Oryzias latipes: one gene and its partner. The protein of the gene in region 2 interacts with the protein of the main gene of each other region in a biochemical or structural test. Links are inferred from orthologs where the notes say so. Each region holds a gene or a part of one and is shown on either strand. Other genes may lie near its edges.

Evidence for each region.
Region 1: the proteins of nr4a3 (region 2) and six3 form a complex in vitro, tested with the Homo sapiens proteins (3 studies listed by BioGRID). The link is inferred for Oryzias latipes from reciprocal best matches to the Homo sapiens genes NR4A3 and SIX3.

What each region holds. Positions count from the first base shown.
Region 1 is NC_019873.2:16,155,180-16,159,682, reverse strand, and holds the start of six3 (homeobox protein SIX3), read left to right. Parts: upstream 1-1,622; 5' UTR 1,623-1,745; coding exon 1,746-2,437; intron 2,438-4,041; coding exon 4,042-4,234; 3' UTR 4,235-4,503. UniProt on the Homo sapiens protein: Transcriptional regulator which can act as both a transcriptional repressor and activator by binding a ATTA homeodomain core recognition sequence on these target genes.
Region 2 is NC_019874.2:17,605,848-17,609,667, reverse strand, and holds part of nr4a3 (nuclear receptor subfamily 4 group A member 3), read right to left. Parts: 5' UTR 3,778-3,820; intron 3,203-3,777; 5' UTR 3,185-3,202; coding exon 3,121-3,184; intron 649-3,120; coding exon 1-648. UniProt on the Homo sapiens protein: Transcriptional activator that binds to regulatory elements in promoter regions in a cell- and response element (target)-specific manner.

The DNA of each region.
Region 1 (4,503 bases), on a different chromosome or scaffold from region 2:
TTGTGCGGCAGCACAGTGGACAGGTTTGATCCCCTACGCTGCCCCACCCCCCACATAAGCACGCGCCACCAGCCTTAAAGGTAAGGCGCAAACCATACTCCTGACCTTGCTAATATTATCACGCACACCACCAGATATGGACACTTTCACAAAACACGTGCGCGCACTTAGAAGCTGGAGTACTCCCGTGCGTAAAAATGCGTAAAAGTGCTCAAACATCCCACTGGGGACAAATGATAAACAGGTATTTTGCCATGCATGCGCGTAAAGCTGGTCTACTCACTCACTGTCTGTCCAAAGTGAGGGGCTGAGGTCAACATTTCCAGAGAATGTCCAAATCGGAGAAAGTTTTGAATTCCTGAATGAATTTGTAGAAAGGCGCTTAGGATCATTATGTCAGCTTTATGGAGGACGGATTAAGCGGAGTCTAGATGCTACGCCTTGTACACGGTTCTCTCACAATGTGATCACTGTTCGTTTTATAGTGAACCCACACTATTTTAACACCTTGCAAACCCTGTCTAAACATGAAACAGTTTCAGCCATAAACATGAAAATCACACCGCTTTGGCTGCCGCTCTATAAGCCAAATCCTGTGACTGGATGCATGGGGACATTGATGTTGTCCTTATAGCCTCAGATCAAATGCAAGAAACTGCTTTTATGTGCCTAGTATCTTTTATGTTGCCATTCGATTGTAATACTAATACCAGGCTAATTGTTTAAATTGGGAGCCGGGACTGTTTAAAAAGGCTTGAGACATTGCTTTGTATTCTTTCATAACATTACCTTTCTTATTCTTTTTAGTTTTTATTTAAAAAAATTTTTTTGAGAAAAAGCAGCGAGCAGAGGATGCACCCAAAGACCCAAAAGCAGGGCCGCTAACAACAGGAGGGGGAGCGGCGTCACCCAGCAAACACCCGAACCAGCACCCACCCAAAAGCCCACTCATTCCAGCTGAGAGTATAGAGAAAAACGCATACAAATTTTCTCCCTTCAAGTTAATCTAGATATTTTTTTAAAGGAAAAAAAACTATGCAATAGTTCAATATCTTAAAGACATAAATTGGAAGTTGGCTAAACCCCTTTCGTTTTGCTCAAAAATGAATTATCTGATAAAATAAATTTTTTTAAAAGTCTTCGCTATAGGGAAATCTGCATGGAAATAATGTGCAGATTGACTTGCTTCCATTCAAAATTCCCGAGTTGTAGTCATTGGTTGTCCATTTGTCCCCCATTTAAAGCTCCCTCTCCCTCACTCCCTCCCCGTCTCTACTAAGCATCTCCAGTCTACATATCTTCTTTAGCTTTAACGAGCCTCGTTAAGATCGCAATAATATTCCACCCTCTAATTGCTCATTCCATTCAGCAGATAGGCGAGCATTGGCTTGTGCCTGATGCGCGCGGTGCGGTGGGAGGGTTGCTGTGGAGATCCTAGACTCTGATAACCCCCCGTGCGTGCTGCACAAGTGGTGAAAGCCTCGCGCTACGTACTGGCTAATGATTGGCACGCTTGACAGTGATTGGCAGGGCTGCCATGACAACGCTACAACGACACCAAGAAGACCAATAGAAAAGGGAAACAAAATGTTTCAATGCTACACTCAACGGCGGATTTAGGGGGGAGATATTATGAGGCTGGTGTCATTAGGCGATAGCCATTGAATCATTGAATCTTTTTTACTTACCGTATTTTTCGGTTTTTCTTTTTCTCGATAATTTTCTTTCTCTCTCAGGTCATTTCCATGGTTTTCAGATCGCCTTTAGAGCTTTATCCCTCCCATTTCTTCCTGCCTAACTTCGCTGATCGCCCTCTGCTCCTGGCGAACAGCGCTCCCACCACCAGGTCTCCAGAAGACTTGTCCATGTTTCAGCTACCGACCCTCAACTTCTCCCCGGAGCAGGTGGCAAGCGTCTGCGAGACGCTGGAGGAGACCGGGGACATCGAACGACTGGGCCGTTTCCTCTGGTCCCTGCCTGTGGCTCCGGGAGCATGCGAGGCGATCAACAAACACGAGTCCATCCTGCGCGCCCGCGCCGTGGTAGCTTTCCACACGGGGAATTTCAGAGACCTCTATCACATCCTGGAAAACCACAAGTTCACCAAGGACTCGCACGGCAAACTGCAGGCCATGTGGCTGGAAGCTCACTATCAGGAGGCCGAGAAACTTCGCGGTCGTCCGCTCGGACCGGTCGATAAGTACCGGGTGCGGAAGAAGTTTCCGCTGCCTCGGACCATCTGGGACGGGGAGCAGAAGACGCACTGTTTTAAGGAGCGGACACGGAGTCTGCTGAGGGAGTGGTACCTTCAGGACCCGTATCCAAACCCCAGCAAGAAAAGGGAACTGGCTCAAGCCACAGGACTCACTCCCACACAAGTCGGGAACTGGTTTAAAAACCGGAGGCAACGAGACAGAGCGGCAGCAGCCAAAAACAGGTCGGTGTTTTTACGCGCGGGAAGTAAAACACAAGAGCTCACTTTTCTGGGGGACAACCAGAAAAATATATATTTCAATATGCTGCAAGGTTTTCAAAAGCTTATCCTAGAAAATACTGACTGTCAGTCAGGCGGAAGCAGCAGCTGCGCCGACATTGTTGACATGAAGCCAAATCCGGATAAAAGCTGCACTTTTACGGCGGTTTTAAATTCACACTTTTTCCTAAATTTTAATGTACGTTTTGGCTTTTTTTTCTAATGTAAAAATTAAATGAATAGTCTTTAAAACTCCTTTATTTTAGGAGCCTAAAATATAAAGTCAAAATAACTTATGCCTATTAGATCATGTTGAAAAACATGAATGAAAACACAAACTAGAAAAAACAAACTTTTAAAAACTAAAAATTAAATTTTATTGTGTTTTTTTTTCAACCAGAAAAGTCCTTAATCAAAACAGGTAAAATTATTCAAAGTTATGAGAAAAGAGAAATCTTAACTTTAATTAATTTATCATGAATAATGTCATTAAAATATCAATATAATAAGCTAAAAATATCCTTTGGATTATTTTTAAAAATTGCAGTTGATTAAGAGAAGTAAATAAAAGGTGAAAATATTTTTGCAAAAATATTTGAATTTTTTACAGTCTCTAAAACAAAATCTGTTGCTTGGTTTTTCCACCTAAAACTATTTTGTTTGTTTTTTTAAGTATAAAATACAATTATTTTTTATGAACTATGGTGCCTTTGTTATATTCATGTAAAACATAGAGTGACTGAGCAGCCAAACGCACAATACTAATAAAAAGAATATTGATTTTATACTTTTCTAAAGAGAACAGGCGTCTAAGTCGGGCTGCGTTGTTGATATTGTAGTTGTATCATTCCGCTGAAATGCTGTAACTGATTGGAAAATACCCCAGAGAGCACTAAGCCATATGAACACTATTCTAATCTTTTTGATAAATGAATAGATCTATTTCGGCACTGACATTATCCCGTCGTGATGGAGTTATTATCGTGAGTGGACAAGAGATAAACATTCAGGATGATTGGAGTAACCACTCCAGTCATGCACTTCCATCTGAATCAGCTGCCAAAGCTTCTAGGCGGTTGCGTAATTTTGCAAAAAAATAAATAAAATAATAATAATTTTGATTTTAAAGTTTTTAGGTGTCAACTGAAAACAACTGAAGGGTTAGAAAATAGATCCAAGGACAAGGACAGAAAGTGTGGACAAAACTAAGTTGGGTTTTCTATTTTCCTCTGACACCAAACATCTCATTTATCCCGAAGTGTTGTGCGATCACAAGACGTGCTTTAACAACAACAACAACAGCAGAACTCCATTACATTTGCTCCAACATTTGCTGGTCTAAACAGCGCGGCGTTGTGTCCCCTGAAAGCTGGCTGCTTGATAAATAAAAGCATGCATGCATGGCTGGGGCCGGCAGGGGAAAAGAAAGGCGAGTTTGAACCCCTATTTTGCACTATGAGGAGGAGGAGGAGGAAGGGAGCGGGGGTGCACATTCTCAGGTCTAATTGCTATTTCTCTCGCCTTTTTCTCCTCCTTTTCTCCCCCTCCACCTCGCTTCTTTTCCTTAGGCTTCAGCACCAAGCAATAGGACCGAGCGGTATGAGGTCCCTCTCAGAGGCCGGGCTCACCCCTCACAGCTCGGCGGAGTCGCCTTCCACCGCGGCCAGTCCCACCACCAGCGTTTCCAGTATGACAGAGAGAGTTGATACTGGGACGTCCATCCTGTCCGTCACATCCAGCGATTCAGAGTGCGATGTATGATACGCAAGGGGGAAAAACACACACACACAAGAACAAACAAAAAGAGAATTATTTACAGGAAAAATGGACCTGAGAGGAAGAAAAAAAGACTTATGAAATATGGTGGATGAAAAAAGGACCGATTGATATAAATATTAAAATAAAAGAGATAAAAGCACGTCGGTTTTTTAAAGCGCTTCAAAGGACCCCTCCTCTTCATACCCCAACACTAATAGACTACTTGCATGATGTTTTTTTCTCTTTTTCATTTTGTAATCAGGGAAAATGCA
Region 2 (3,820 bases):
CAGCCCCGCGGTGTAGCTGGTACATGGGTTGGTCCAGAGGTGGACCGTGAGGATGAGACACCGATGATGATGATGATGAGGAAGATGAGGAGGTTCGAACCAGTCCCCCTCCCAGGTTGTCATAGCCTCCAATGTTCCCGCTGTGAGGCGGCGAGTGCTGGTAGAAGTGTGGGAAGCGAGGGGACTTGAGGGGCCCGGTTTCCAGGCCTGAGCCTAGGGAGTGAGGGTGTGACTGAGGGACCATGGATGTCTCCTCCCAAAGGAAAGATGTGCTGGGCTGTGGAGGCAGAGATGGGGTGGTGGGGGTGGAAGGAGGGGATTGTTTAAAGTACATGGAAGAGGAGGACATGACTTCCAGTGGTGGAGCAGTTGGATAGCTCTCCTCCTCCTTTTTGATGATGGGCCTGTGTGGGGGCATCTGGTAAAGGCAGGAAGATTTGGGCTCATAACTCCCCTCCACAAAGACATTGAAGCTGGGCAGTGAAGTGGTGGCAGCGGCTGAGATCTCGCTTCCACTCAAGTCCAACTTGGTGTAGTCAGGGGTCATAAGGTCAGAACCGTAGCTGTCACCCTGGTAACTGAAGGACTGGCCAGTGTACGCTGAGCCTGGAGGGGCGGGCCCATACTGAGCCTGCACACAGGGCATGTCTGCCGGGGAGACAGAACACGGGGAGAGGTTAGGTCTGCATGGCAAGAGGAGCCACGGGCTTCATGACTTTTCAGATTGTTAGTACAGGAGTAGCTTACAGGAACATTCATTAGCAGACAATTAATCTTACATTCAGTTTTGTTACATTCATATTAAAAATGAGGCAGGGCTTCTGGGGGACAGATGTTGCTACTGTAAATCTACAGGGAAAAGGCAGACTATATTAGATGCATGCACACATTGGAAGTGCTATAAAGGGCCAGCAATCAACAATGACTAATTTCTGCTCAGCTCTATTGGAACAGGCGGTTTTTCAGCTCTTAAAGTGATGATTTTTTTAAATGATAAAGACAATGTCCAATAAATGTGAAAAAATCTTCCTATAGACTGATATTTTGCTTGAGCATTTCTCGCACTTGCTTTGGGTAAGAATAGCAGCACTATAGGGAGTGCACACACTAACACACACAAGCAGGATCTCAAACATTGCTGATTCACTCACAGTTAGTTTGGTGAGAGAAGATGCAGCTGATGAGAGAAGGAACAAATCCACTGCAAATGTGTGTGCGTGTGTGTGCACGAGCGTGTGGGTGAAGGCGCTCTGGTTAGTCAGATGGCAAAGCAGATGTGAAATAATAATGAAAACCCGTGGCGGTGTTGGATGCTATACTGTACAAAAGCAAGAAAAAAAGGCGGATATGGACGCAGATATATTCAGTGTCTTGAGTTTAATCTCTGATTTAATTATAACTCATGTCATAGGAGAAGGCACCACCTCTTTGAACTGCGCGCGCAGAGCAGCCTTTACGGTCCGATAATACCAAGCCTCTTATGTAATTCTCAACACCTGCGTTAGTGCGCTTCTGAGTGCACGCGTGTGTGCGCAGGCGGCCAGGAGCGCCGGAGCGGCCGTGGGCTTTTGTGATGTTTGCTCGGCGCTCCTGCGCAGAGAAAAGTCAACACGCGGCTGCGTCCATTGACGCTCTGCATGCGCGCGTAACGCCATAACCTCCACGCGTAATGTTTGTCTAGTCAAATGCTGGACCTGTCGTTCCTGCTTTTAGCGACATCACACATACCTCCACCCAAGCAGGACTCCCCATCCACCCCTCCCGTGCAGGAACGCTCAAGGAAATAGCCCTTCAGTTGTATTATTCGACGCTTCAATAAGTTGAGCAAAAATAAAAGTTCTGCAACATGATGAAATCTGCAATTTTTCCTCAAAAAACAACTGGGAATTTAGGAAAGTTTAAATGCCTATTTTAACTTTAAAAGATATAAATGTCCTTCATGTGCAACTTAAAAGTCGAATTTATGAGGCTGCGAAAAAAAATGGTACCTGGCAAGATATATATATATATATATATATATATATATATATATATATATATATATATATATATATATATATATATATATATATACATACATAACTTCTTCTTGTTATATTTACATTAATTAAAATAAATTATACTTAATTTAAGATTGTGATTAAAAAAAGACTTATAGTGATGAATCTATCAAGAAGTCGTGCGTAAAACCGCGCTTTTCCTGCATTCTTTTCAGAAATGCACGTCTGTCTTCACTCAATGACACACAATAGGCGGCCTAGGTCAACAGGAGCAGCCATTCACGAGTCTGCTTTACGACTCAATGACAATACTAGACAGACAGTTTTTTTGTAATTAAGGATATGAGTCAAGCTTTCGGCCTACGTCTGCTTGACGTCATCGCGTTTTTTCTACCCCTCTGCTTCTTCCAGGAGTGACCATCTCTTTAACCCATGTGTTAAAATACACATGTAACCTGAGGGCGTCAGAGGGACCTTTTAAAAAGAACAAAACTAAACTGACTTGACTATATAGAGAAAGAGGTAAAATAGGCAAGAGGGCAGTGATGAACTATGTGGCTGAATGCAGTGCTGTGTCAGTAGGTCAAACCCTAGATCAGTGGGCATTAGTGTGACTGTGTTTTCCCACACACTGCACCTGCCACATTCTAACAGCTCACAGCCTCCAGCTGGTGAAGCAGGGCTGAACATGATTTTTTTTTTGTGCAGACGTTTAAGAATAGATGAAAATCTTTTGTGGTTTGTCCGATTATTGGAGCTTACAACATGACTGAATGATTTTAACTGTGTTAATGTGTAACTTTTTTGTGATTGTTGTGGTAATATTTGTTGCCCCTCAAGGACCTAGTGTCAAGTCTTACCATCTTAAGCTTCTGTCAGCCCTTACTCAGCACACTCAGTTACCATCACACATTACCTTAAACAGAAACGCACATGTAGTTCAAGGTTTGCCAATGCATATCACCAAAAGAAGTAAAACCCTCTTGACTCCAACACCACCATCGGATTGCCCTTTTCACTCTTGCATGCATGTGTGAGTGTGTGCCAGGTAGTGGACAGATAACCCAAGCAGAGTCAGACAAAAGTGAGCAGCATGAGGCGAAGGGAAACAGTTTCTAACCTCGAGGTGTGCATTTCAACTGGACAAACTGCAGCTGTTCCAATAACTGAGCGCGCTTGTTCATTGTCAGAATGCCATAGATCTAACAGATGAAAACATGAAGGTGCAGGTTTGAATACAGCAGCCGTGTCACACAAGATGACTTCAAATCAGCTGGCCTCACACACAATGTAAAAAAACACACATACACAAATGCAGTTATACACAATGAGAGATTTTTATGTTTTTGGATGTTTCATTTAGTACACAACACAACAATGATTGAAAAACATGTTTATGGATATGCAGAAAAACAAAGACAAACAGATCATGATTTATCTGTTTTTTTGTGTCTCTTTCCTTATTTAGTGGCTTTATCAACCTTTGGCTGCAGCTTTTGCCAGCAAAGATGCCCTCCCCTCCAAACACACTCACACTCAAAGGAAAATAAATGAAGAAACGTTCACTTTCCTTTTATTGTTTCTGAATTTTTAGTGAAGGAAAGAATTAGCTAATTTGTGCTGGTTTGCAGTTCTATAGAACGCAACATTTATGACTTTCCAGGTCTGTTTTAAGCAGCAAAGAAAATAAAAGAAAAGAAAGAAAGAAAAGAAGGAAAAAAGCAAGCAAGAAAGAAAAAGAAATGAAAGTGAAAACCATCTCAGTGGTTTGCTTTACCTGGTGAAAGTGCCTCGCGCTGAATGGTGCTGGGTGTCCGGGG